Tamandua tetradactyla: one gene and its partners. The protein of the gene in region 1 interacts with the protein of each later gene in a pairwise test. Links are inferred from orthologs where the notes say so. Each region holds a gene or a part of one and is shown in the gene's direction. Other genes may lie near its edges.

Region 1 (7,619 bases):
TGGAACTATCCAGGAAGGATCTCTGGAAAATCCTATTGTCTGATAGTCACATTCTCTTCATACGACATAGAAAATCAACAAAAGTGTTGCAGAATCTGCATAAATGGAACCACTGCCAGTCTGGATTAAAAGGGACAGAAAAGGGACAAATTGAAGGAAAAGTAGCCTCAGAGGCAGAACCATGGAAGCTAAGGTTTGAAGACAAGAAATGTCGGGCAAGGAGAGTGGACCCATCTATACACATGGAGAGGGTGAGTTTGCCCCAAAGGCAGAGGGTGAGTCTCCCCGCTGGATGCTCTGGAAGAGTTGTCTCCCAGACCTTGGAGAGGGTGGAGCACATTCCTGGGGGACTGGGGAGAGCCTGGCTGCCACCCCATTATCCTGGAAGGGTTGAACGTGTGCCCCAGAGATGGCAGAGAGCCTGGTTGTTGCCTCAATGCTCGGAAAGGGCAGAGCTGAGAAAAAGGTGCTCTCCCCAGTGTCCTTCAAGACTGCAAACCCCACACCAGCGTTTGGAGAGGGTAGAGCTGCTGAGCAGACCCTTGGAAAGAGTGGGGCTCCTGCTTTCTAAAGTTCTGAGGATAAATGACTCTCAGACTTTGAAATCTAATGGAGTTTGCCCTGTAGGTTTCAGAACTGTTTGGGTATGGTGACCCCTGTGTTCCTTCCAATTTCTCCTTATGGAAAAGGAAATATGTATCCTATGAATACCCCTTCTTTGTACATTGGCAGCAGGTAACTTGTTCTGAGTTTTACAGGTCCACAGACAGAGGAGAGTTTTGCCTTAAGACAGACCAGGTCTATAGCTGACTTTGATGAGATTTTGTACCGTTTCTGTATATTGCATTTGTTTATTGTTACTGAAATGGTTTAAGGCTTTGTGCTATTGTGATGGAATGAATGTATTTTGCATTTGGGAAGAACATGCTTTTTGGGGGTCCAAAGAGTGGAATGTGCCGGTTTGGAATTGTCCTGTGCCCCAGAAAAGCCATGTTCTTTAATCCTCATTCGGTATTGCTGTGTGGGATCTTTTTTATTATTCCCATGAAGGTGTGACCCACCCAATTATGGGTGTAACTTTTGATTAGATGGCTTCTGTGGAGCTAAGTCTCCACCCATTCAAGGTGGGGCTGTTTACTGGAGCTCTTTAAGAGGGAAACATTTTAGAAAAAGCTTGAGAGCCAACAGAGCCCACATAGCCAGAGATCTTTGGAAATGAAGTAGGAAAACACCCCCAGGGAAGCCTTATGAAATAAGAAGAGAAAGCTAGCAGACATTGTCATGTGCCTTCCCAGCTGACAGGTGTTCTGGACCTTTCTTGAGTCAAGGCATCTTTCCTTAGATGCTTTAGTTTGGGCATTTTCAAGGAATCAGAACTGTAAACTTGCAACTTAATAAATTCCCTTTTTAAAAGCTGTCCTGTTTCTGGTATATCACATGCCAGCAGCTTTAACAACTAAAACAGAGAGGAAGTCGGTTAAACCTGTACTGGAGAGAAAAGAATTTGCATGTCTACAAGAATTATTTTGCATTGTTATCAGTTGCTAAAATTTACTGATGATAAAAGGAAAACTTTTCATGCAGTTTAGGATCCCACAGCTTTTTGAGCTATTCGTGAATCAAGCAGCACCCCATTCAGAAAGTAAAAGGAAACTCCCCACCCCCAGCTGGCCCCAGGAGATGGAAGGGAGAAACTCTTACTGGGCAGACGAGGAAGCAAGGGAGGAAATATTTGGATTGGCTGGCATTAAGTTTCCATTTTAGGTGGGGTGGAGGGTGTGTTTTTATGAAGTGAGGAGCAGGTGGCTGCTAGGAACCGATTAGCTGGCGATAACTTATCTGCCGTATTTAAATTTGGTTTCCTGGGCAAGCCCAGCGTTTACAGGAAATAGTAAGTAGCTTAAGTTTACTGTTTCGCTAACGTGAGGCTTAGCATGGGTGACTCCGTGTTGGGCCTACAAGATTTTATTTCTCACCAAGTTGTACAAAAGCTCAAAGAAGATGAAATAGCCTGGATAGCCTGAAAGGGTGTGCTGTAAACTGACAAAATCATTTTCCTCCCCAACTGATCACCACTCTATCAGTCACCTCAGTACCCTTCAAGTTTAGTTACATAAACACACAGGTAAGATGTCTACTGTCTATGGTGCATGAAACGTGGTTTTTTTTTTCATGTATTAATATATTTCCTGCCTGTTTTTCAGGTAGTCTCTGAGACTTACTCTAGCTCTGTCATTGAGCCTTTATCTGACCCAGACAGCCCCCTCTGAAAGGAAGTTCCCGCCTCATCTAGGGATAGACAATGCCAACATTCTCTCCCCAACCTCACCCTGTGAAGTCCTTGGAACATCCTGAGTGGGGAAGAGGAGCTGTCATACCTCCTAGGACAGCTTCACGCCTACATCTGCGAAGCCAGAATCATCCCGGAAAACAAAAAATCCTGATCCTGGGGGAGAAAGGAGAGGAGAGTTCTTGAGAGATAAGAAGTTAGCAAGGGCGAGAAACTTCAGAGCAGGCATTCCTTCCAGGAGCCAGGCAGCTAAAAGAGAGGGTGAAGCTGGCCAGGTGGGGATGAATAGGGAGTGGTGAGGACTGCGGCAAAGAGGGCGTGCATACCTGGTATAAAAGGGCAGTCAATGGGGACCCTGGGCTTTGTATTGCCAAGAGTCACATTTTTTTTTTTTTTGCATATTACCATAACACATTTTTTATTAATATTTTTATTGTAAACAACATAAAACATTCTGTGGTGTACAATCAATGGCTAGCAATAGCATCACAAAGTTGTGTATTCATTACCATGATCATTTTTCTGAACATTTGTATCTCTCCAGCAAAAGAAATAAAAGCAAAAAAAGAAACACTTATACATACCATACCCTTTATCCCTCCCTCTCATTAAGCACTAGTATTTCAAACTACTCAATTTAACCTTTGTTCCTCCTAGTTTTTGTTTCTTTTCTTGTTCATATCTTTTACTCATCTGTCCATACCCTAGATAAAAGGAGCATCAGACACAAGGTTTTTGCAATCACGCAGTCACAATGCAAAAAGAAGCCACATTTTAAAACAGAAGCTAGCAATAAAAACTCGAATGTCAACAAGTTTCAGTTTTAAAAAGAATATTTATTTTTCAATTTAAACATTTTTCATTTTCTAAAGGGTAGTCCATTCACATTGTTCAAAAATTTAAAAGGAAATCAGGTTTATTGTAAAAAAGTTTCCTTGCATTCCTATGCAAGTCCCCTGGTTGCCATCCCAAGAAACCTTCACTGCGCCTGTACCTTGTATCTTTCCGGAAATACACACAGAAGCACACATCTAGGCATACACACGCAAAGATTATCTTTCCTTTATTTACACAAATGGTAATATAATTTTCACACCCTGCTATACTTTGTTTTCATCCCTTAAAATATATCTTTAAGGACATTCTCTAGCAGTACATAACCAGCCTCCTCATTCTTGTTTACGGCTGCCTAATATTCCTCTGTGTGGCTGTACCATAATTGATTCAACCAGACTCCCTTTGATGGACAGCTGGGCAGAAGTGGGGAGAGGGTGAGGAAGCAGGGCTCATTTCCTCCCAAGAAATCTCTGCGTGTCACCACTTCTAGGAAATTCTTCCCCCCGGACGCTATTAGGTGCTCAGGGCTTACTATTCCAGAACGCCTCGGCTTCAGGTTGGGGAAAGGGGTCTCTGCGCTTGCATAAAGGGAAGGAGACTCCTAGCTGAGTATGGGGGTGCATAGTAGGCTGAAGTTGTGGAGGCACCAGCAAGAAAAGAAGGGAGGCAGCCTTCCCTCTGGGGGGAAACTCCTGAAGTTTGTCTCGGGGTTCCCTCCACCCACCTGTTTTCCAAACCGACATGTATTGGCACTTACGATATACATGAAGCCTAGTAAAGGACCAAATAAATGGACGGCCCAACCCCCAAAGCGAGAGAAAACTGAGCCAAACAGCGCCCCCTTATGGTGTCTGGGAGCAGCGTCCTTGCAGTTTCTCCGCCAGCTACTGGTCAGCAAGTGAGAGTCCAAGGCTGCTGGGGGAAGGGCCCTTGGAGGGCACCTAGTCTACGCGGCCCCCCATCTACTTTTAGGGACAAGGCACTGGACTCGGAGAGGGGACACAACTTGTCCATGGGGGTTCGGGCATTCGCCAGGGGCGGCGACTTTTGATGGGCAGGGGCCGTCCGGAGACCTGCCGCGGAGCTGGCCTGCGCAGCGACCACCCTTGTCTTTGCTCAGGACGAGAGTGTATTGGGGGTAGGGGTTGAGAGGTCGATGCAGAGGCGCTCCCGGCGCCGGCCCCGGCGGAGGAGCTGGGACCCGCACCCGGCTGGGCGGACCCCAGCCCCGCGCCCCCGCTGCCCGGTGCACGGAGCCGCCCCACCCCCGCACCCCCAGCGACACCCGGACACAAGGTCCCGCCGCGCGCTCCCAGGCCCGCCGGACAAAGAGCGGGAGTTCCCGGGACCCGAGCCCGCCGCGCCGGGGCCGGGTGCGCCCCCTCGGCAGCCTCCCCGCAGCTCCGCGGAGTCCGCGCACCGCCCCCGCGTGGGTGCGCGGGGCGGGGGTGGAGGGGGGGGTGGAGCGAAGCGTGGGCGGGGCTCGGGGAGGAGGAGTTCGCCCCACCCCGGCCGCGCGCTTCCAGACCGCCCGCCGGTGCACTGTGCAGCTGGACTCCGCCGGAGCCTCACACTCGGTCCTGAGATGACAGCGAGCAAGCGGGTGGCGAAGGTAACGCCCAACGGGATGACCCCCTTTTCCCGCGGCCGCCCGGTTCCCTCCGCGCTCTCTCTCTCCCTACCCCGGCTCTCCCGGTGCATTTTTGTCTGGATACCAGGGTTGGCTGAATCTGCTATCCCCGCCTCCCTCCCCAGTGGAGGAGTGCGTCTGCGAGAGGGGGCTAGAGGTGGGGGTGGGGGGTGGGCCATGCGGAGCGGGGCTGTCGCTCTCCCCCCCGCCGAGCTTTGCTGAGAGTGCGAACGAGCCCACTGCAGGCTATCCCGATGCTGCTTTCAGTTTCACTTCCCCTGCCAGAAACTTGAGGGAACAATTGCAGCCAGGGTTCCTTGGCGACTTCCTGGTGTCATGCACTCTTCTGGCGGAAAAAGAGGGTTATGAGCAGAGAATAAAAGGGGACAAGGTCCTCGCCTTCGAGTAACAGCCTGTGGCCGCCCCTAGGTTGTTACCTTTCTTATTAAAGTCCAAGGAAACGTAAGATGTTGACTCCGAGTTTCGGGCCGCATTCCCCGAGCCTTCTCGGGAGGAAAAGATGCCAAGGTGACCTCGGAGGTCTCCTGGAGATGGTGGTGTGCATTCATTCATTCGTTCCACCAATGTTGTTGAATGCCTCTTATGGGTCATCTCATCGGAGGATGGGAGGCAGAGGTGAAGGAGCTGGCACAAATCTTTGCTCTGGCTGAGCTTTCATTCTAATCAGGTACACAATTTGCCATGTGTTCTGGAAGGATAGGGGGCCGGGGCACGAGCTGGAGAAGGCCAGCTCGAGTGGGGAACTGGACTGTAGATAGATGGGGGAGGAAAAGCAATCCTGGTGAAGTAAGGCTGCCCATCCCACAGCCTTTGTGTCTCTCAGAAGTGTCCTCTAGTCCTTAGAGTAGAGGGACAGGCTTGAGGGGGTAAAGGAGGGAACCTTGGAGAAGATGCTGTCTGAATGGGGCTCTGAGAGCAGGCTCAGCCTGGAAGAACTGAACTCCCAAGGTAGGCTGGAGGTTGGCTGGAGAATTCTTGCAGCCGAGTGCTAAAGAGATGGGAACCAGTGTTTGTTACACTGGCAGTTCAGGTCGGTTATTTCTTCTCATTCTCACGGCCAGCAGGTGGGATAAGCAATAGCACCCCATTTTGCAGATGGGGAAATGAGGCTCAGAGAGAGTAAGTTGCTTGTTCACTATCACCCGGTAAGGAAGTGATGGGGCTGGGAGTTGAGCTGCCGGCTCTTTGAGTGACTTCTGTACTTTCATTTTCTCTTTCTGTAAATCAGGTGATTTTCTGAACTGGCTTCAGGAAAAAATTGTGTGTCCTAGCTTGGTTGCAACATTTTCTGGGAAAATTTGGCAGAACTCATAACACATCAATTCCTGAATGTTCCCAGTTAAAGTCAGGAAAATGTCCATTCCAGAGCTTTTCTTTTTTAACTTGAGCTTCAAGACACTCAATGAGAACTTGTAGTAGCAAATTCTCCTTCTAGTTTGGGGTGAAAGATAAATGATGTTTATGCAGAAGGCACCAGGAGCAGTTGGTTGGTATGACGAGAGACAGAGGATGGGCTAAAAGATAGAAGGGAGGGGGACAGAGAAAATTCAGACGGATCACGGGGTTAAAGGACTCTTCCCCAACTTTGGGCTGCGTTTGGGAGCTCTCTGCCAGTCTCAGTCCCATCAGTATTGACATTTGGACCAAATAATTTTTCACCGGAGTAGACTGGCCTGTGTATTGTAGGACGTTATGCACACAGGGTGCCAGTAGCACCCCCCCCCCATTATAACAATCAAAAATATGTCCAGACATTGGCAGATGGCCCCTGGAGGGCAGGGGACAAAACTGCTGGTTTATACCAACTAGGTATACCAAAGAAATAAGACCTGCTTTTGATTAATTTTCATCTTTTTTTTTTTAAGTCTCTGTAGTTGCACGGAATGGACCCCAAAAAGGTTCCTTGGTTAAATATGTTTGAGAGGTATTGCATGTGAAGGGCTCACATCATAACCCACAATAAAGGCTCTGGGAAACCCTGCAGTAAAGAAACTGGTTTAGCCCAGTGTTTCCCAAACTTATATACCTATGGGACTCTTTTCCTGTAGTAACTATTACCCTTCCATGGGGTGCAGTGTACACATTTGTCCTAACTGGTCCCTTTGCTCTGGTACCCTTCCTCTTCTCTGCATGAAACTCCTATTTAATCTGCAGGACCCAGCTCACAACGTGCAGCCTCTGTGATACCTCCCAGCTTTCCTCATCTCTCCTTCCCCATTTCATGTTACCATGTAATCACATTCATGTTTCCTGCATTCTTCCATGGAACTTCTTGAGGACTGGGCTCTGTCTTAGACGAGTGTCAGTAGAGGATGCTCAGTAAATGATTGTTGAGAGAATTCACGGATATCCAGATGATTGGGTCACATTTCGGGGGCAAATTCACTCCTTGCCCCCATGTTCCTCAGCTTGGCATGTAGAGTTCTCCTCTGCTGTGGTCTGCCTGAGTCATTTTCCTTCCTCAGGTGTATTCAGGTGGAGTTTTTGCTGCATAAATCTGCCATAAGCACCATCCACTCATGTCCTGTGGGGCACTCAGCAGATGCTAATGGAAGGGTGGGTGGTGGGGGAGTTGGGACCTAGTGATTTTCTAGGAAGAGGGCAAGAGGTACAGGTGAAGTACCTTGGTTTTAGGAGAAAGGGTTCCTGAGAGAGCTTTATCCCACGTTGTAATATCTGAGAGAAGTTATGTACATCTTCCCTGCACCTCATACTTACAGAGCTGTGGTGAGGCTGAAATCAAAGAATTCTCACCAAGTACTTAGCGCCAGGCCTGACACATACTCAAAACAGGGGCCTACTTTTGCTGGCTTCTGCTGTCCACTGTGTCATGTTGTGCTG
Region 2 (6,921 bases), on another chromosome or scaffold:
ATTAAATGTCTTCCCACAATTATGAACACCTAACGCTAAGTGCAATTTAATCATTCCTCCAGAATTGAGAAGGCCCTTCTGTAAAATTTTGTAAAGCCCTAAGGGCAAGAGTCTATTGATTATTATAGAAAAGTAATGTAATAAAAAGTGTAAAGAAGCTTGAATAAGCCAAAAACCTTGAGTAATAGCACTATTTCTGCCACTGGCTAGCAGTGATCTTGAAACTGGTAAATGGCTTTGTTTAAGCCTTGAAGCTTCCATATGTGAAAAGAAAAGAATATACTACACTTCCTCACTCTTTCTCTCACTCTCTCATCCCTTTCATTTTTTAAATGTCTACTTAGAATCTATGGCATTTTCATGAGAGCCATATAGGAGTACTTGTAGACAGTTCTAGAAGCCAAAATTCATTTATTTCATTCAACAAATACTTAGTAAGTACCTACAACTTGCCTGACCTGTGCATGTTAGAGTAGTGGATAAAACAAACAATACCTCTACTTTCCAGGTGGATGCCAGGCAAAAATATTTTTACTTCTTTAGTAACTATACTAACCTTCTCATTTATTTCACCGACTTTTGTGGCATTTGCATTTCTGTATGGCACATAGTCTCTGAAGTATAATGACACTCTGGCACTTTCTACATGCTGTTTTTTAATAAGTGGATGCACATTCTTCTTCACTTGTACTTTCTTTAAGTTTTGGTTTTCTTCCTTAAACTATTTTTATAGTTTTGTTATGTGGACCATGTATTTTCTTGTGATAGTATTATGTTTGCTTTTTTTGAATTTTTTCTCCACATACTCCAGGAAAATAACTAGAACCTAGTTTCAGCTCCAGGGGTATTTGCAGAGCTGAAAGAAGCTATCTGAAAATAACATTGCTTCATCCTCTCTTCCGTGGCTGCACTGAAGAGGCTATTGGGGATACCTAGGTTGGGGAAGGAGGAGAGCTGGACTTTGAGGGGAGGGAGGCAAGATTGTGAGCAAGGGATGGTTTCCCAATAACACCTTGAGACTAGCAGGGACTTCCCTCTCTTCCTTGGTGTTGCCCTGGGAAAGGGGGACAATCTCACAGGCTGCTGAGTCCACCTGTGTACCTTTGATCCTGAGTTTGGAAAAAAATAGTCCTGTGCCTGGAGAGGACTCCACTTCCTGGAGTCTGGAAGAGAAGCTGAATGCAGCCTGCTTTCAAAAGACCACATGGCTTGGACAGTGAGATTATCCATAGACACAGAGATGGATTGAGGAATGCCACTTCATATTCAGATCACCAAATAATCTCCCAGAATCTGCCATATCCCTAGAGAGAGAGCGTCAACCACAACTGACCTTCAATTTCCTGCCACTCTCTTGAAATAGGGATTTTAATTTGAACCGATTTTATAAGTGAAAGAAATGGGAATTTTCTGTATGCACAGAATTGATCACAAATTAATATAAACTCCATTGTCCAAAATATTTTATTTTAAGCCCTGAGTGTGAGTCTGTGTTTCTTTCAATATTGCATTCTAAGGGGAAACTTCAAAACGTATTTCCACATCTCCAGACTTTGGATCATTTATGATGGTACGAATTCTCTGGCTTGTTTACTGTCTAGCACAGACTCTTCCCCCTTGTAGACAATCAAAAAGACTCTTGTTCAGTGAGTATAGGATGAGTCACACTGCCTTTAGGGATAAACACTGAGGAACAATGGATATCTTTTAAAATAGGCTTGACATGATAAACCTCTTGGTAAGAGTGTTTCGGTGCAGCTGTGGCTAGGGCAGGATGCTGGACTGGAAACCTATCAGTGATGGGTATAACATGTCATTGAGAGAACCAAACAGCTTCTTAGTGAAGAGAACCAGGGCAGTTGCACAGACATACAGCCCAGAGTAGATGATTCTATTCACTATTTATTGAACACTTACTATGCCCAAGACCCAATGGAAGGGAGCAGGTACATAGAAAAATTACTTCATCATTGCTTTACAGAACATTAGATTGTAATCATCAAAGAGCAAACACCCAGAACATTAAATGTCGTGCGACAGATGCACAAATCAATATAGATACAAACGTACTATTATACATGTTCAGAGGTTTGGATGGTGGGGTCATGGATTGTTAAGACTTCATAGAGAAAATTGCATATGAGATGCATGGTGTGGTCTGCTGCAAACTGGACTTTCAATGATGATATACTCTCTGCCCATCTCCCCAACAGCAGTTACGGCAACAAAGACAAACAAAACATGGGATTTAAATCACACGCTTTGCTGCATAAACACAAGTCTCAATCATGCGATTAGGTAAGGAAATGGCTCAGCACCTTAGTCTGCTTCCACTTAGCTATATGCTCCTCCCCAGCCCCCCCGACTTGATTTCTGTGTCCTGGTTTTCCATAGATACGTCTGCATCTCAATACTAATTTCATGGGACACAGTATTGTGGTATAATTTCCATTCTCTGGGCGTTTACAGTAAGTACTCTATCCATTCACTAATTTAATCACTCATTCATAAGAAGTGCTCTTACTAGTACTTCCCTATATTGCCAACTGGAATACAGGAGATGCGAATGTATTTTCTATGAAGCCCAGGCTTTTATGCAGAGCTACTTTAATCTTGTATTGAGAGGCAGGATAACAAAGGGTCATTGTTAGCTTTCTTCCTATTGTGTATTTTTTCATGAATAATGACATTTCTGCAAAGAATCTAACTGGATCCCAGCCATCAGAAGACAAGTACTTGCTCCTGTTTTTGAAGAGCAAAAATATTTACCAGAAAAACTTTTCAGTGCAGATGAGATAGATATGATTTTTAAAATAGATATGTAGGTAGCAGAGGTAGACAAATTATGTAGTGTTTTAAAATAATTAAGTATTTTGGTGTAATTGTTTGGGGGAAATGGATTGCCACTTATGATTGTCAAATATGGTGATCTGTGCCCTGTGTTCTATGATTCATACAATCTCACATAAGACCTCCATTATATACATAGTATGATTACTTTAATTTTCCAGGTAAGAAAATTGAGGCACAAAGAGATAAAAATAACTCACTTACAGAAACCAGGCTAGTAAGAAGCAGAGGTAGACTTCACACCAGGCAGCGTTTTGCTATGCCCAGGAAGGATGATTTTACTGCGGGTTTTCCCTATAATTCTGGAGAAAAGAGAATCTCTGAATTGGAGGAGGTATTATTTCATTCAGACAAATAACTTCTGTTCAATATGCATGTGTGACAGACATATGACCTAGAATTTGTATAACTCCTAGCTACTAGAGGGTGTGGCAAAAGTAAATCTTAAAGGAATTCCATTTTCAGCAAACTAAACACTTTAATTAAGAATAAGAAATGAATTGTTATGTGTGATTCTCAGATACCCATAAACCTGGTGGCATCAGACAGTTTCCCATCTTCTCCATTTGTCAAACAAACTTGGTGGTGGGATGAGAAGATGTTTCATGTTAAGTTGGGCGAAGAAGTTGAACTAAGCTGAGCTCAGCCTTTACCAGCAAGATCCTCATCAAACAGAGCTCGAAACTGAGGCTCTGAGAAGCCAAACGGTTTATTCATATTTGCCTGGTCAGTGGCTCATTCTAGCACTTGGCCTAGGAAGGTTTGTTAAATGTCTGGTTGGATCATTCATTTCTCTTCTAGCTAGGTGACATATTCACCCCAGACAGTTGAAATCACACGTTCCTCTTTCGGAGGTCACTAAAATAGGAATCGCATTTTCATTTCCGCAACCATCGGCCGCCCTTATCATTATTTGGATGATTATTAGTTTTTCCAAAGGGGCCAGGAGGCCAGAGCTGAAAGTTAGCTGAGCCGGTGCCAAGACCCTGCGGGCACCAGAGGGCGCTGTGTCCGTTCAGGGCGGGGGCTCGGTCCTCTTCAAAGGCAAGCTGCTGGGGCGAAGCTTCCAACGTTTCCCAGCGTTTTTGTGTGCGGGTTAGTGGCCCCCACCCCTCGCGCCGCAGATTCTGCCCCCCTCCTCCGCGGGCTTTGCAAAAAAAAAAAAAAAACAACGGGTGGAGGGCGGGGATGAAATAAAGAGCCGCTGCCTGGTGTGGCCCAGGGCGGGCTGCGCGGGGCGCGCGTGGAGGCGGCGGTAGCGCGCGTTCCAGTGCCGGGCCGCGGGCACCCGAGCCAGAGCCGTCGGAGTCCCGCGCTGCCGCCGCGGCGAAGGAGCAGCAGCTCGGCCGCCGCCAAGAGCCCAGGCGGGCACAGACCAGAGGAGGCAGCCGCCCCCACGCCCCGGAGGAGCGCCGGCCGCGCCGAGACCAGGTAGGATGACGCGCGCGCGTCCCCTTTGTGTCGGCATCACAGGAGCCGGACCCAGCCAGAAGGAGAGCTGTGGTTTTCACCGATCCGGCCTCCGTGGCTCGCCCAGTCCCGGTCTTCCCGAGTGCCCATCTCGGTAATCCGCTGCGTGGCGGGAGGCGCTGGCTTGGGCGCTCGGGTCGTGGCGGGTGCTGGAGGCGGGATGGAGGGTTCTTGGGGTGAGGAGCCGCTGTCTTCGTGCGGAGCACTCGCACCCTGACTCTTCGGCGGCCGGTTTGGGATTGCATTCCCTCCCCTAGCGCCGTGACCACTTTCAAAACCACGGAACCACGCCACCGCCCTTTTTCCACTCTTGGTCTGCGTGTCAGTTTGCAGCGATGCGTGTCTTGGCGCTCGCGCGCCGGGGTCGGGTTGGCGAGTTCGCGGGCCGGGGCGCTCTCTTTGTTGGAGGGCCCCGCCCGCAGGCCCCAGAGCTCGAGACTCAGGGTCAGAGCTTTTGTCGTGGACGAGGGTGAGCGGGTCTGGGAAGGAGGAGGAAATGGGGGAAGGTCTAGTCCGACAGAAGTCGGCTAGGGGTGCTGCGTGCCCTCCCGGTTTAAACATCCCCCCTCCAGCGCCCAAAATGACCACAGCCGCCAGCTTCCCTCCCACCCTTTCCTTCTGGATGGGTGCGCTGCCCAGTCGCGCCCTCGGCAGTGCGGAGAGAGTAGTGGGCTGATAGGGGAAGTTCCCTGCACATCTTGGAGAGGGCTGGGATGATAGTTTTACCCCCACCCAACCGTCTAGTACTTGCTTCCTAGAACTGCTACACCATCCCTAGTTCCCAGTTATTCGGTTGCTTATGCAAGCGGGGGGTGGGGGTGGGGGCTCAGTGGTAATGGGGTGGGAAGAAGGTGGGAGTATTTTATTCATTTTTCCTTAATGATCTTCATAGGCCAATCTCAGGACAGTTATGCCAAAAGTTTTCTCCTCTGTCTCTGTCTCTGCCTCTTTCTCTCTGTGTCTTTCTTCCTTGTTATGCAATGAATACTATAAAATGTCCAGTTGACTAATATTCGGTGCTTGCCTTGTGCCAGGGCAAAGGCTGGATTGCAGAGAAGAGTTAGATAAGGCCCCAGGGAGGTATCCCAGTAGGCTCTTTGCTGTCACAGGAGGGGAGCTGATACCTAAACTAGAGACCCCACATCTTGCATTTAACAGTTGTGGAAAGCTGATTAGTGGGAGGATAGCCTGTCTGGGTTGGACCGAGAACTTGGATAGGCAAATCATGTTAGGGGCTGCCCTCAAAATGAGTGTTCAGCAAGGCAGATGATAAGTAAAATTCAAAGCAGAAAGTAAGTGGCGTAGACGCAGAGCAGTGGGCGTTCCAGAGGGAGAGTCAGGGAAAGGTGGGAAGGTAGGCAGATCAGGGAAGGCTTTGGGAAGGAGGTGGTAGTTGAGTCAAAGCTTGAAGATGGGTCAGATCTGTCATCTGGCAGGAAGGACCCATCTTGGCAGAGGGGCAAGAGCCAAGGCTAGGAAGAAGGAAGGAAAACACCAGGCACGCATCTCTGGACTTTCACATTGGATTCGAGGCTGGTGGTTTGAAGAAGACCAGATAATCGCTTGGTTGTATTCTCTTCCACAGTACTAAGATTGAGGAGCTTGTGTTTTTCTGTTTTCTAGTGCCTTTTTTAATTTTAATTTTTTTTTACTATTTTTTTTTAATGAGTGATAAGGAAACATACTTTGAGAAGTGAGATGGGGATAAATCAAGAAATCTTTGAATTCCAGGTGAAGAGTTTAGACTTGATCTAGTGGCATTGGGAGACACTGATGGCTTTAGAGGAACAGAATGAGTGATCTGAGCCTTGCTTTAGAGGAATTCATCCTTTGGTGGAGGAGGGAGAACTTAGAATGCAGTGGGTGGAGCATGGGCTTTGTACTCAGACCCCCACCCAGACCTGGGCTTCCACCCTTATCACTTACCAAAGGGTCACACATGAATAGAGGGCGTCATGAGACCATAGCATGCAAATAATCTAATTTTAGCGGAATGCAAATTTTCCAGATCCAGCACAATTTGAATTTTGTTGTTTGTTCTTTTATGAGGTCCTGATTCTGAGGTCTTTTAAAGAGATCTTTTAAGAGCTTCTAGAAAAGGACTAATGAAGGTAGACTTGAATGCTGGGAAGGGTGGGCAAAGCAGTAGTGTGGGGGAGGTATTGGGGGAGTGGGCAAAGCTGCAGTAGGTGAATGAAATGATACGGCCCCTACAAAGCAATGAGTGGATCTGGATTTTGAATACTTGGAGAGCATTTTAAGATTTGCATATCTTATAAATATATTCTACGACCCCTCAGTTTGACTATTTGCAAACTCTGCATTCACATCTCTATTAGCATATAGTATCATGCGTGTATGTGTGGATTTAATGTGACTTTGGACTTTGAAAAGAACTTACAGGTTCAGTTAAAGCTGCTGAGATTGAGGGTGGTGAGGGTAGCACACAACCAGACAGTGTCAGGGAGCTACGTAGCTTTGTCCCTGTGGTTCTTAATTTGGTTCTACTGCTGCCTTACCTTTTCTGTCTTTGGAGTCATTTTCTGGGTGGAAAAGGAGAATCTTGTCTCATCAGTTGAGAATCATGGAACCTCATGGAGT
Region 3 (7,101 bases), on another chromosome or scaffold:
TTTCTGGGAGGCGTTAGTTCACTGCTTCTAGGAAGAACTGAGACACAGGCCATTACAGGCAGTATGGAGGTGAGCTGCCTTGCAGTTGGGAATACTATGGTGGAGAACCTGAGAGGTTGGGGGGTGTGAAGTCACTGAGTGTCTAAAAGAAGATGGAGGGAGCAAGGGGAGTTTTAGGGCAAGTTGCATAAAGGAGGTAGTGGGACACCAAAGTAAGAAGTTTGGGATATCTATTTTCTGTGCAAAAAAGGTTCTACCATTATTGAAAAGCGTCTTACTTTTAGTTGCTTGATCACACATGAAGTCTAGATCTAAGAATGGCTTCAGGGTCAAATATTAGTAAGAGTATTGGAAGATCTATTTTGCCAAGAGTGACTACCTCTTTGTAGTGCTGCTACTCAGTGTTAGGTAGGAGGTTCTCTGTGTCTGTTTTTAGCTTAGAGTTATGTTTAAAAAGACCTCCTGGTTTGACGCATATGTTGCCCAGAAGGAGGATGGGTATTGTAGAGGGAACACATATTCTTTGATCCTAAGCCCAACCTTTGAAGCTCACTGAGCTCATTGTGACCTTATAGATAACAGACCCTGCCAGTGAACGTGTTTCTGTGTCTTCAGCTTATTCGACCATGGCAGAAGGTAATGCTGTTGTTTTAGTACTTCACGTTTCATGTCATACACTTGTCTTCTAAGGTCATAAAAACTTGGTTGATTCTAGCAAAAGAGAGCAAGCTTCACTCTCTACAGTGAGCCACAGCCATGTTACTGATTTTTTTCACCTGTGGCCGAGACTACTCATTGCCTTCCCAGATTCTAATTTTAACTTCTTCTTTAGCAAAATGTTAGTCCAGTTGAGGCCTATTTCCTAACCTCTTTTGCAGCCAAGTGTGGCTACACAATTAAGTTCCAGCCAATAAGATTTAAGTAGAAATTTTATGGGAACTTACAGAAAGACTATTGAAAAAGAGAGGATGCACCTTCTTTGCTCCTTTCTGCTTTTCTCCTTCTTCTGGTTTCTGTTATGATGGCTGGAGTTCCAGCAGCCATCTTGGAACATGAAGTGATTTTGAAAATAAAAATCTGACACAAAGCTGGTAGCGCAGAAAGATAGAGGATGCTCGGGTCCTGAATTACTTCATGGAACTTCAGTGCATGCTCTATTACCTGCAGACTTTTCCCAAAATATGTTTAATGTGAAAGAGAAAAAAACCTGTCTTTCTTAAGAGATTGCTACTTTTTCCTGTTATATGTAGCCAAACCCAATTCTTACTTAATGAAACTTGGGTGCACCTCAAAATCATTTGGGGGATCTAGTAAAAATAGTGCTTCCTGGGCCCACCCCCGGAGATTCTGATTTAATTAGTTTGACATAGGACTCAGGCAAGTGTAATTTCTAAAAAACATCCTAGGTAATTCCAACATATGACCAGTGTTGAGAACCACTGTCCTAACTGATGTGCCATCTCCTCCAAGTAACTACGTGGTTTCAGGAATTGTGGTTTATGATATCACTGTGGCACTTACATTCTATTTCTGTAGCTCTGCTAGGAAAGGGAACAGTACTAGGGAGGGGGACTTAAATGCTAATGTTGTGGATGTCTACAGATTCTGAGAATTCAGAAAGCATTAAAATGACGATGCTATCCATAAAGGCTGCCTGTATGGCTTCACTTCTGAAGAAATACTTTCCTTCCTACCGCCAAATAATACTTTTCCTGGAGAGTATGAAGAGCTTAGCAGCAAAGGACTGGGGAGGCGAATAAAGAAAGATGTTTCTCTTGTAGCTGAGCGAGGTTGAAAGGGAAAAAAGGCAACTTTAGATATCCCCCCCCAGCAGCACAGCTGGTATTTACAAAATATTGTATGTTTTTTAGTTATCATTTATTGAATACTTCCTGTTTGAAGCATAATCCTAGAAAGAGAAGGCACATTTTCTGCCCACATTCACAGTTTGGTATTTATATGTACAAGTAAACCTGTGCTTAAAATATAGTAGAGAGTAAGGTCTGTGGCAGATTATGCAAAGACTACTTTGGGAATATTCACATCCCCTCCCGGACAAGTGGCATTTCAGCAAGAGTATTAGCCTGGCTGGCGTCGGGGCGAGGGTAGGTTCTCTCTTGTCTGTGGGTGATGGTGTGTTGGACCTGGGATAGCGAATTTAAGGTATTGCCAAGTAAAAAGTTAACTTTACCAGACTGTTCAATTATTGAGGATTCATGGATGATGTTCAGCACGACCATCCACACTGAAAAATGTGCAAACTTTTGTACTTCTATAAATGTCTTTTGAATGGATGAAAATTCAGAAGGACATATCTTCTGCAGTGAGAGCTCACAGAGTGATCATATTCTCAAAGGCGTCTCTGATGTCCACAAGGACCGGAGCCATTGTTCTTTTGTAAATTGATGGGGGAAGAGGGGTGAATTGATAAAGAAGTGATCTGGTGGCTAGAGTTGTCACTGGGATTTCCCTTAGAATTTCCCCATAAATACAGAAATAACCTGTGGTAGATGATATATCTGAATAAAATATTTAAGAATCAAAAGATACTTTACACAAACTAGGGGAACTTATAATGTAAAGTAATGGCTTGAGTTATTTTGCAAAGTCAAGAATTAAAGATATCTCTTTTATATGTTCATAACTTCTGGATTTTGTATATAACCCTCCGGCTTTCACAACTATATGTGACAGCTTTTATCTTATCATCATTAAACATTTATATTTTATTAGACTTTAAAAATGAGGAAATTAAGGCTCGGAGATATTAGGAAATTTATCTTGGACTAGGTAGTTTATATTGAGTTAAGCCCAGATTTAGTGGATTCAGAAATCTATGTTCTTTTCATAGCATGATGCTGATTTACTTTATCCATCCATTTTGATGGGGGTTAATCAAAGTTCTTCTGGTTTCAAATCACTGAAATAAGTTTGAAGTAGCCTAAACAAGAAAAGGGAAAATGTTATTATATGGACAAGATGCTAGTGTCTTGAGGAACCCAAAGATAGGAATGCAGTTGGTTCCCAGAAGGAAATGGAACTGGGAACTGGAAAATTGTTATTCTCTTTCTCTAACTCTTATCTCACCTTTTCTTTTTATTGTTCTCACTGTGGCTTTCTCTGTTTCTCATATAGATGAATGGAACATGGCTGCTGCATAGCTTCAATGCAGCACAGAGATTAGCTATCCCTAAATCCAAATTCCAAATTCCTGGGAGAGAGAATCTGATTGGCTCCATTTGAGACAGGCAACTATCCTGGGTCCAATCAGCTTCAAAGAAGCAGGGTTCATTACATCCTGCAAACATGGCTGCCAAGGGATTTGAAGGCAACTTCCTTTACTGGTAGGCAGATCTGACTATTGTCTTTTCTCACTGTCTCTTTTGACCACAGCCCACTCTGGACACTCTGATTGCTACATGGAGAAGTTTAAGAGTTCCCTTCCAGGTTTAACCCATGACTACAGTTCTTTGAAAAGAAAACAAGGTAAGAGCAGACTCTGGCAATATAGTGTGACATCAATGATTTCCCCCTTTTGAAACATATCATCACTGTCTCCTCCTTCTCATTATTTAGGGCTCCTTGCTTTCACACACACACACCAAACATTCATAGAAGATAGGGTAATGGTTTCTGCTTTAAAGCTCAACCTCTGCCTTGGGCTACAGGAACCACAGCTCCACTGTGTTTGTTTGTCAATATAAAGTGATTAAAGTCCTCTCCAAACCTTTCTTCATCATAATTTTGGGGGTCCTCTCCTCTATAGTCACTACTTATTCAGAAGTGGATCCAGTGACTCTCATTGGGCAAAGTAGGGAGAGTAAGTTCGCCTAGGATTCTCAGGAACAGGTGGTCATCACCAACTGCTTTCTCATTGAAGCGGTTTCTAAGTAAAGAGAGAAAAATCTCAAGACCCAGTTAAATACATTTTATACTCTGTATTTTCTTCTGTAGCTGTAAAGAGAGAGAAACTTGGGAATAAAGTTTTTGTAGGTGGCCCAAACTTAGGAATGTTCAGTGTTCCAAAAGTTTGTTTACAAGTCAGTTGTTCAGAACTTGGAACTCATTTTATTATGGAAACAATACTATACTTGCAAGGTTAGGTTTCTAGCCAAGGTATAAACGATTATTTGATCTACAGCATAGCTGAAATGGTAATGGTGACCCTGAAGTTTTCCTTATCCTTAAAATTGGAGTCTGAACTCTTCCATGTCAAAACCTTGAATCTATTAGCCTCTTGAAAACTAATTCCCTATGAGTTTGTCTAACATTTGATCCTTGAGCTCCTTATTCACATGGAGATGTGTGGGTGGATGATAGACGTGGGCATGGAAAGATGCAGGGGTAGTAGATGGTATCAGAGGAAGGGGAGAGGGGAGAATAGTGAGTCTGATGTTTTCATTGACTACCATAGGAAAAAAGATATAGGAGACTGGGAAGGAGGGGTATGAAGGAAAAAAATGAATGGCTGCAACTTTTGATAAATATCTCTTGTCATCTGTTAGACAATGTTTGCATCTAAAGTATATATTAGTTGTTTTTTCTGGTATGCAGTTCTTTCTCTTCCATTAGTCAGCTGTAAATTAAGAACAAATTTCATATCATTCCTCATTTAACTGGGTCAATGAATGCATCTACCTGAGATGAGACCTTAAGACTGCAGAGAAATTCAGTTGGGTAATGGGTAGGTGTGAATTGGCTCTCGTTGCATAGTTAGGAGATCCTAACATGCCTTTGTAGAGCTTCTGCATGTGTGGCTTTAGCAGATGGTTTCATCCCCTCTGGCATGGATCCAGACAACTTTATATTCTCAGCATGCAGATGAACAAGGTCAAAACAGGATCTTGTACTGAGATAGACTTTTGAGTCATACTGTTAACTCTTCTCTCTTACAGGAAACTTGCCCCGTCCTTCTTGCAGAGGCCAATGCTGAGAATTCAAAGTACACAGAGTTGTTGGAGTCTTTTCCCAATGTATGTTTTATGTTTCTCTTCTTGATCAAGATTGGGGTTCCTCTAATATAAGAATAATGTCTGATTTGTTCAGGCAGAACACCTGGCCTCTTGTGCTAAGTAGACATTTAAAAATAGAATTAAACGTTTTGCATCAGCCTTCTATTTTGGTCCTCGTTCTATAAAAGAACTTGATAGGAGAACAAGTGGGAGCTTGATTTCACCTATAAATTTATTGGGGAGGTGAGTGTCATCTAGTAGAAATTCACTTGATTTGGTCCATTGAGTTCTACTATATGTTGTCCCTGTAATTGCTTGTGTGATTTTTGTAAAGTTAATTAATCTATCAGTGTTCAGTTCCATCATTTATAAAATGTGAAAGATAAAACCTAAGCTGAAGGGTTGTGAGTATACAATGAGATGATGTTTGTGAAAGCACTCAGAGGAGGGCATGATATGACCCTACCTCTATAAAAAATACTTTGCAATGAGTAAGGAGTGATTTGCTAAAGATTTACTTACTCTACAAAATACAAGTATATTATATTTGATGCCTTTTATTCAATCCTTGTTTCAATGAGCTAATAATGTTTACTCCATTGTAATTTCATCTTCCACTTGATTTTTTTTAATGCAGCATAAAATACTGTGTAGTTTTACTCCATCTTTCCTAAAGTTAATCCTTATCCTAAGTTTTGGCACCATATGTTAGATTAACCTTGTTTTGAATTTTTTATAAATTGAATTACATATACTATGCCTTATTTTTCTGGCTGTTTATTGTGCCCATTATAACTGTGAGATTCATCTATGATATTGTGTAAGGCAGTAGTTTTAAAAATTTCATTGCTGTATAGTATACCTTTGGTAAATCAACCAGATATTTATTTAGTCACTCTAATGCTGATGGGATTTGGACTGCTTCCAGATTTTAGTTATTTCATATAGTTTGTTCCATATAATGTCCTATGAACATTCTCATATCTAAAAAATGCAGTGTGGTATAATTCAGGGTATGACATTGATCCCTTCATCCTGTTCATTTGTGGGTATTTATTAGCCATCATGCTTGCTGGAAAGAGGCATAAGCTGATGTGATTTCAAAGAAACATCATTAGCAATCTGAACCATTGAAATGAGATAATCAGCATAAGCTGGGCAGGCAGCCACTCAAGTTGTTTGATTTCTGCTTCCTCTTCCCACTCCAGTTTTGGTAGCCGCAGGTGTATATGATTGTATGGGTTCCATCTGTTGTCCAGGTCCTGTGGAAGTACGTGCAAAAATTGTAGGTTGAAAAGATTGGAAGTTTTTTTTCAGAATGTAAGTAATGCCATGTAATAACAGTGATCACTCTGAAAAGTTTTGTCTCAGTTTTCAACTCATGGATCGCTTCTACCAAAAGAAGATGAAAAGTCTGTATTGATTTTCATCATAACCATTGAGGAGGGGAGCTTTAACCTGCATGTATGAATTAGGTCATAAGAAAGGAAGAGAGATACTTAGCAAGGGTCCCTGATCCCAATAGAAAGGTCTTGGAGCAGGGCACGGAGGTTTCCGTCATCTGTCTTGATTTATGCTAACCCTTACCCAGGGAAATAAATGAGCTCTCTTCCTCACCCCATTGCCAGTTGGCTATGTTGATGTCTCAAATGACTGAACTATTTGCCTTTATTAACTAATGCTTACCAGAGGGGTCATAACATCCCCATTTTGTCTTTACATAAGCTGTGTGGGGTTGCATATCACAAATGTGCCTCTTTGGGTTTAATAAAGCACTAGATACCAGTAAATAATTAGCAGTAAAATTAGGGTTGACCTTCTGTGATTTTTTAAAACTTTTTAATTGTATAATATAACATATATACAAAACAAAGAAATAAAAAAGCAATAGTTTTCAGAGCACTCTTCAACAAGTAGTTAAGGACAGATCCCAGAGTTTGGCATGGGCTACCATTCCATCATCTCAGATTTTTCCTTCTAGCTGCTCTAGAACACTGGAGGCTAGAAGGAATGAATATTTTTTATCATCACAGTTGACTTTTTTCTTTTCTGTGGAAAATAAATATATACAAAAGAGTCAGAAATTTCAAAGCATGACACAACAATTAGTTGTAGAACAGATCAGAGTTTGGTATGGGTTCCAGTGCCA
Region 4 (7,644 bases), on another chromosome or scaffold:
CACCAGAGACGGATTGGCTTTCAATAAAAGGGGACTTATTTCATTAGTTCTTCAGAGGAAAGGCAGCTAACTTTCAACTGAGGTTCTTTCTTACTTGGGAAGGCACAGGACAATCTCTGCTGGCCTTCTCTCCAGGCCTCTGGGTTCCAACAACTTTCACCCAGTGATTTCTTTCTGCATCTCCAAACACCTGGGCTGAACTGTGAGTGCTGAGATGAGGTATGCTGAGCTGCTTGGGCTGTGCTACCTTGAGTCTCTCATTTAAGCACCAGCCAATTAAATCAAACATCATTCATTGCAGCAGGCACACCTCCTAGCCGACTGCAGACGTAATCAGCAACAGAGGAGGTTCATACGCCATTGGCTCATGTACACATCAGTAGATCCAGGCACCTTCAGCTGGCCAAGTTGACAACTGAATCTAACTACCACAAAGGTTTTCAAGTATCCTTTATACTAATCTATGTTTCTGATGCCCAATGTTTCTAAAAGTCTCAAACAGAATCCTGGTGCTGTCACTTTCTTGCTATGTGACCTTTGCTAAGTTAATGTCTGAGCCTATAAAATAAGAATAATATCTACCTCATGAAATTTTGATTGAGGTATTATACATATATAAATATGTGTATCACCTCCTATCTTACAGGTATTTTAGCATCCATTACCTAGTAAGGCAAATACAGCATGCTATGGAAAGAAGCAAAGAGAATGTCTGAGATAGATGTGGTCTAGAAAGGCTTCCAAATGAAGACTTTGTATTGGAGAAAGTTGAGTTGGGAGTGGTGGGGTGGAAGGTAGGAGTGACCAGGCAGAGAAAAAAGCATGTGTAAAAAGTTCTCCCTGATGCTGAAGAGAATTCAGTACACTCAAGAAATTGAAATAAGTACAGAAAAATTTGGAGCACAGAAATAAGGGGGAGAGTGATAGCAGATGAAGCCAAAAACGGTTGTTTGAGAGACGGTAATGTCAGGCAGTCCTAGGGGATATGTACTAATGAATTTAAGTCACTCAGAGTATTCTCACTCTCTTACTAGGGATTGGCTTAGAGGTCATCATGTGGCCCAGTGTGGACCAAGGAGATGCAAGGGAAAGTCTGCAGAGGAAGGCTTTGAGGACACATTTTTTTCTCATATAAAAGGAGAGAGAGTTACAAAGAGGAAATCATATCACTTCCTTTCTGTTTTTGGAGACTGTTGTGTGTAGATGTGACTGTTGGAGATGTTGCCATCTTTCTGCCATCTCAGAGAGAAACTGAGATATGGGGAATGCAAGGGGCTGAGTCCTTGAGGACATCATTGAGCTGCTGAGCAACTCTGGAACTACTTATGCTGGACTCTTTTATCAAATAAGCAATAAATTTGATCAAGACACTTTTAGTTGAATTTCCATTACCTGCCACCAAAAATATCTTGATTATAGTTGTTGAAAGAGCCATACCATGCAGGACTTTGTAGATCATGTTAAGGATTTAGAAGTTAATCCAACAGTTTGTGGAGAGCCATTAAATGGTTTTAAGCGTGAGATGACACAAGGTATATGCTTTTCTAAAGGTCATTGTGGTTACATTGTGGATAATAGTTTGGAAGGATGGCAATAGTATGTGCTCTAGTTTGCTAGCTGCTGGAATGCAAAATACCAGAAACGGAATGGCTTTTAAAAGGAGAATTTAATAAATTGCTAGTTTACAGTTCTAAAGCCGAGAAAATGTCCCAATTAAACATGTCTATAGAAATCTCCAATCTAAGGCATCAAGGGAAAGATACCTTGGTTCAAGGAGGCCAATGAAGTTCACAGTTTCTTTCTCAAGTGGAAGGGTACATGGTGAACACAGTCACAGTTTCTCTCTCATCTGGAAATGCACATGGTGAACACAGTCAGGGTTCCTCTCTCACCTGGAAGGGCACATGGCGAACATGGCATCATCTGCTAGCTTCTTCTCCTGGCTTCCTGTTTCATGAAGCACCCCGTGAAGCATTTTCCTTCTTCATCTCCAAAGGTCGCTGGCTGGTGGACTCTGTTTCTCGTGACTGTGTCATTCTGCTCTGCTCTCTCTGAATCTCTTTCATTCTCCAAAATGTTTCCTCTTTTATACGACTCCAGAAACTTATCAAGACCCACCCAAATGGGTGGAGATACATCTCCACCTAATCCAGTTTAACAGCCACTCTTGATTAAATCACATCTCCAGGGAGATGATCTCATTACAGTTTCAAACACACAGTATTGAATAGTGATTATTCTGTCTTTATGAAATGGGATTTAGATTAAAACATGGCTTTTCTAGGGGACATACATCCTCCCAAACCAGCACAGAAGATGTAGGCAGAGTAGTTAGAAACTACAGCAATAGGTCATAGAAGAGAATGTAATGACTTAAAATAAGTGATGAGTGAGGAAATGGAGAAGAATGAATCAATCCAAGAGCTACTGAGAGATATACCTCTATTGGAGGTAGAATTGTGGTTGTGATTGATTTAATGTGAATGAGGGAGAGTGAGAAATCAAGAATGACTTCCAGTTTCTAGACTGAACTACCAGGTAAGGTAGCTCACTTTACTAAGAGAGGGATTAATTACTGGAGAAGCAGCAGATGGGAGGCTAAGATAATGAGTTCATTATTGGACAAGTTGAGCTGAATATGTTCATGATGTAACCACATGATATGTCAAGTAAGCAGTAGGGTATTTGAGTGGCATGGGGTGGAGAAAAAGATTTGAATGTCTTTGGAACCTAGATAGTAGAAGGATATATGAGAGTTTTGAGATTCTTAGGGAGTGGGTGAGGAATGAGAAGGTAAAGTGTCCTAGGACAGAATTCTAGTAACTCTAGCACTTAGCCTTTCTATGGAGAAGGAGATGCCAGTAGAAGAGACTACACAAGAGTAGCCAGAAAGAAAGAAGAAAAGCCAGAGTATTTCAAGAAGGAGGGAGTGCTCAATAATGATAAACAGAGTTGAGAGGTCGAGCAAGAAAATGACTGATAAGAGTCTATTGGCTTTTGCCACCTGAAGGTCACCAGTGACACTGGTGATGAAGTAGTTTTTGGACAGATGGAAGCAGAATGGTTGGTTCAGAAACCATATTGGATTAGAAGAGAAGTGAACACTTAAGAAATTGACACAAAGAAGTTAGAAACCCTGATCAAGAAATTTAGTCTTGAAGACCATATAGTACAGGAGCTGAGGGACATGTGGGATCAAGGAGGGGGGTGGGGGTGTTTTTTTTCTAAAGGTAGGAATGACTCCCTTTGCTTCAGTCCTCTATCCAATTCATCAGCAAGGCTTTCTAGGTCTTTCTCCTAATTACATCCCAAACTTGTCCACCTCTCACTTTCTACCTACCTGGTTTAAGCCATTGTCTTTTCTCACTTGAACTAATTCCATGGCTTCCTAACTAATTTCTCTGCCTCCATTCTTGCTTTGTTTCTTTCCTTTTTCCATATAGCAGCAGAGTAAATCAAATAAAAACGCCTGGTATAAAATTCAAACTCTTGTCCTGGCTTATAAGACCGCACAGGCCCCTGAGTACCCATTTCATCTTATCCCATGTACCTCTCAGACCCTCCTATGCTCCAGTTTCACATCTTTCTGGTCTCGGTTCCTTCCTCACTCACTGTTCCCAGTGCTTCACCAGCTTTTCTTCTAAATCTTCGAATGGCTGACTCCTTTTCATTATTCATAACTCTGCTCAAATGTCACCTCATCCATAAAGTCTCTTCTGACCTTCTTATCCTTTTTCCTATCTCTAGTCCCTTCTTTGTAGCTGTCATTCGGAGTACTCTTGTTCATTTATTTATTTGCTGGTTACTAATATCCCATCGATAAAATAAGATCTGACTGGGAGAAACGGGGTGAAGTGTATATGAGATTATCATATATTCTATCTATGTATTATCACAGACGTATGCATTTATGTATCTGTGTGTTTTATATTATTTCTTACAATTGTATGCGAATCCATAATTCTCTCACGGTAAAAAGTTTCATTTTGTTTTTTAAAGGAAGTTCTGGAAGACTTGGGAATGTGTTTGCTTGTTCAGAACTGTGCCTCCATTTCCAGGACAGAGTCCCATATGCAGCCACACTAAATGGGTCTTTGCTAAAGAGTGAATGAATGAATTATATGCTCGGTCATGTTTCAGAGGATGGGAAGAAAAAAAGCGTATTAACAATAGCACGAAATGCTGAGCCAAGGATACTGGGGATGAGGAGAATTCAGCACTAGAATCCTATTTCTAGAGCTGCAATACGAGTCCGGGTTTTCAGAACTCTTTTCACGACATCATTTAATCTCTCTATGAATAGGATATTGCTTAGATGACCTGAGTAGTGATTAGCACAGTTGGAGGAGATGCTCAATCTGTCCTAAGTCATTTTGTAGCTTATTAAGATTACACAATGCAGGACCGATGGATGGGTGCTCTCTGGCTCCCATGAAGGCATGACCTATCCCGCACTTTCCTGAAGTGTGACAGTGGGAAAGGATGTGTGATAGCCTGGAAGATTCACTACAGGCCCTGGTCCTCTTCTTTGCCGCTGAGGTTTCAGGTTTCAATCCTCCCAGGACAGCGAGACTTTGCAGCATGTGGGCTGTGCCGCTGCAGCCTCCGCCTCCGCGCTTTAACCCTGGCAGCTCGCGACAGATAATCCCAGACCTGCGGCCGCGCAAGGTACTCGCTCTAGACCCAGGTTGGGCGCAGCTGCAGAGGCTGGTTCTGGGCTGCGCTAGCCGCGGGCGCTGGGAGGCGGCGATCGCAGCTGGGCCGGGACTTCCTTCCTCCACCGCAGAACAATAAAACCACCCGGCTGCAGCACTGAGCTCTTGGCAGCCGTCTGGGCGGGAGGCGTAGCGATGGGCTCTGTGCTGAGCAGCGACAGCGGCAAATCTGCGCCTGCCTCGGCCACCCTGCGGGCCCAGGAGCGCAGAGAGGACCCCGAGGTGCCCGTCACGTCCTTCGACTGCTCAGTGTGCCTCGAGGTGTTGCACCAGCCTGTCCGGACTCGCTGCGGCCACGTGTAAGTGCCATAGGAGCTCGGTTTGCGCACCCACCCCATAGGGAAGGTGCCTAGGGAGGATGATGCTGGGGAGCGGAGGACTTAGAGGTTTAACAGCAACCAGTGCACCGGAGTAATCGGTTTCCCTCTGCTGGAGACAGAAGCTTCAGGGACAAGCCTAGACCTGTCGGGTAGGAGGCACGGAAAAAAAATACCCAGTTCGAAAGAGACAGTATTGTGAAAGGAGGAAATAGGAACTAGCGGGCCCTGCAGTCTCTTCAGAGCTGCCTTGTCCCGAATGCCAGGTTCGAAGCCCCAGGTATGGGGATCCCAGGTTGAGGTCCCGCCGACAGCCAGGTCTCGCCAGCTGGGGTGGGTGCTCTTGGCTGGAAGACCAGCGCCCGCACTGGCACCGAAAGAGAAGGGGTGCCCAGCTACAGGGCAGGGGTTCCCGCAAAGCACAGTTGCTCAGCAGAACTGGGTTGAACAGGCTGTGCTTCCTTCTTCCGCGAGAACCCCGACGGGTTTTGTTTTGCTGGCGCTGTGCACGTGTTCCAGGACGCCCATAGAGGCTAGTCTCTTGGACAAACAAGGATCTGGGCAAATTGTCTTTCTACCCGCAGCCCCACCTCCCTTTTCCAACATAGACACCCAGACCCCTCCAACATCAAGTCAAACTGAAACGCCCAAATGACTTTCTGTATTGGTTAGAGTTTAACTGAACGTGTCAGGATGGGGTTTGGGGCTCGAATGTAAGCGCCAGGACTGTGAATGGAGCCGTTTAAAACCCAACAACAGACAGGAGATTGAAGGTTATCTGCTTTAGACACCCTCCCACCCCCAAATGGATGGAACATGTAGAATAAAATCTTCCTTAAACATTACGTACTGTTTAAAACTCAATTTTAGTGCAAAACCGAGGTAGTTTTTAGGAAGAGTTTAGAAACAAAGCCCCTGTATAAAATCGGTACACCCTGGATGTGTGCTTGACTAGCTAGTAGCCGGAGTTGGATTTGTGAATTCATGTTTTCGTTTACTTGCTAGATTTCCCCTCCCCAACTCCCCGGGGGTGAATGGGTATGTGTGTGAGAGTGTCGGGGGATTTAAAGCAGGAGCAAAAATCCACCTAATGTCTTCTTTGGACAGCCGGCTTTCTATAGTGTTAAGGGGCAGGGCAATACCGCAATGGCTTGCAAATAAGTGCAAGTGCATAGAACGTTTTAAGAGGATTTAGGTGGGGGTGGTCCTTGACGTCGAAAGCCTAGTACTGGACAAAAGCACCACTCAAGGGCCTATCCTAGCCAGCCAAGGAGAAAGAAAAAATGCAGCCCATACAGTTTACAATGTCCTAGGTATTATTTTGTGGCTGTATTTTCAGCGGCTGTTGTTGCAGCTTTTTTTAGTCTCAAGGCTGATCAAACTCATTTCTGATTACTGATGTTGATTCCCAGCTGTCCCAAACACAGTTCACTGACATCATATCCAAAGGTCAATACGGAAAAACAAGATGTTGCCTAACAGTATAAAATACAATCATATTTTATTTTTTAATAACTAACCTTACATTTAAATCCCTGTTTGCATTAAAGATTTTAAAATTGTGTGGAGGATGCTCAGTGGGCATCAAGTGTTAAGGCTTCCTTTTTACAAAATGGAATGAGCAGCTTTGCTCTTGTAATTATCTGATTGGAAATTGTTTTCCCCTGGTTTGGATTTTGAAAGCTATAACCTACTGTTGACAGTATTTCTTGTCCTTTGCTTCTGCTAAAGGATAATAATAATAATAATATCAGTTTGCAAAGTGTTGCATCTTGTGTTTAGTCTTTTTTTTTTTTTTTTTTTTTTTTTGTTAGAGTGACTAGGAAACCAGCAACTGGAAAAATAGTCATAAACAGCATTACAAAGACTGGACAAATTGCCTTCCCTCACTTTACTGTTCTTTGTTTTGACAAATCTATGTCCATTGTTCTGGCTGTGGGCAGAATTTCCATATTCTTCCTTTTGGCAAACTCACTTGGTCCCTTCCACTTTATAAATGTTAACCAGAGTTCCTCCTACACTGGAGATGGTGAGTGCTGTTAATACCATTTGCGCTTCTAAATGACTTACTAAATTTCACTGAACTGGAAAATGAATGCAAACAAGACCTCTTTTATTATCTGATATTGAAGCTAGATTTCCTAACTTGTTGAAGTAGGTTATTTATGCTAATTTCTGTCTATAAACCTATTTGTCCAACAAATATGGTAACAATACCTTGGACAAGTATCTATATAGCACTTTATAAATTGTATTGTGATGCAGTTGAGTGAACTTTAGAGATGCAGAAGTTTATTTCTGCCACCAACCAGTGTGTGAACACTAAATTGCTTAATCTCTTTAGGTCTTGGTTTCCTCATTTTGTAAAATGGGATTAGTAATGGAATTTTTGAGTATTTAAAATGTAACAATAGCTTATAAGAAAGGTTCAAAACTTATTAGTTTCTGTTTCTGTGAAGTCATTCCACAAGCAATAATCCCATGAACAGACATTATTTACTATCCCTTCTTTTCTTTTGGAAGACAACCGGACGACAAAGGGTAGATTGGTGTCATTTCCAAGATTTTGTAGCTAGTCCCAGACAGCCTTACTTTTAGGTTAGAACTTTTTC

What was found.
Region 2: the proteins of UBE2L6 (region 1) and RNF144A interact in a two-hybrid assay, tested with the Homo sapiens proteins (2 studies listed by BioGRID and IntAct). The link is inferred for Tamandua tetradactyla from reciprocal best matches to the Homo sapiens genes UBE2L6 and RNF144A.
Region 3: the proteins of UBE2L6 (region 1) and RNF144B interact in binary tests that used the Homo sapiens proteins (3 or more experiments, as listed by UniProt). The link is inferred for Tamandua tetradactyla from reciprocal best matches to the Homo sapiens genes UBE2L6 and RNF144B.
Region 4: the proteins of UBE2L6 (region 1) and RNF125 interact in a two-hybrid assay, tested with the Homo sapiens proteins (3 studies listed by BioGRID and IntAct). The link is inferred for Tamandua tetradactyla from reciprocal best matches to the Homo sapiens genes UBE2L6 and RNF125.

The regions. Positions count from the first base shown.
Region 1 is NC_135335.1:20,005,888-20,013,506, forward strand, and holds the start of UBE2L6 (ubiquitin/ISG15-conjugating enzyme E2 L6), read left to right. Parts: upstream 1-4,615; 5' UTR 4,616-4,712; coding exon 4,713-4,739; intron 4,740-7,619. UniProt on the Homo sapiens protein: Catalyzes the covalent attachment of ubiquitin or ISG15 to other proteins. Functions in the E6/E6-AP-induced ubiquitination of p53/TP53. Promotes ubiquitination and subsequent proteasomal degradation of FLT3.
Region 2 is NC_135329.1:52,296,952-52,303,872, forward strand, and holds the start of RNF144A (E3 ubiquitin-protein ligase RNF144A), read left to right. Parts: upstream 1-3,916; 5' UTR 3,917-3,945; intron 3,946-4,129; exon of another isoform or gene 4,130-4,281; intron 4,282-4,291; exon of another isoform or gene 4,292-4,414; intron 4,415-6,921. UniProt on the Homo sapiens protein: E3 ubiquitin-protein ligase which accepts ubiquitin from E2 ubiquitin-conjugating enzymes UBE2L3 and UBE2L6 in the form of a thioester and then directly transfers the ubiquitin to targeted substrates.
Region 3 is NC_135351.1:21,508,542-21,515,642, forward strand, and holds the start of RNF144B (E3 ubiquitin-protein ligase RNF144B), read left to right. Parts: upstream 1-4,094; 5' UTR 4,095-4,151; coding exon 4,152-4,154; intron 4,155-4,895; coding exon 4,896-4,973; intron 4,974-7,101.
Region 4 is NC_135344.1:51,166,225-51,173,868, reverse strand, and holds the start of RNF125 (E3 ubiquitin-protein ligase RNF125), read left to right. Parts: upstream 1-4,636; 5' UTR 4,637-4,850; coding exon 4,851-5,014; intron 5,015-7,644. UniProt on the Homo sapiens protein: E3 ubiquitin-protein ligase that mediates ubiquitination and subsequent proteasomal degradation of target proteins, such as RIGI, MAVS/IPS1, IFIH1/MDA5, JAK1 and p53/TP53.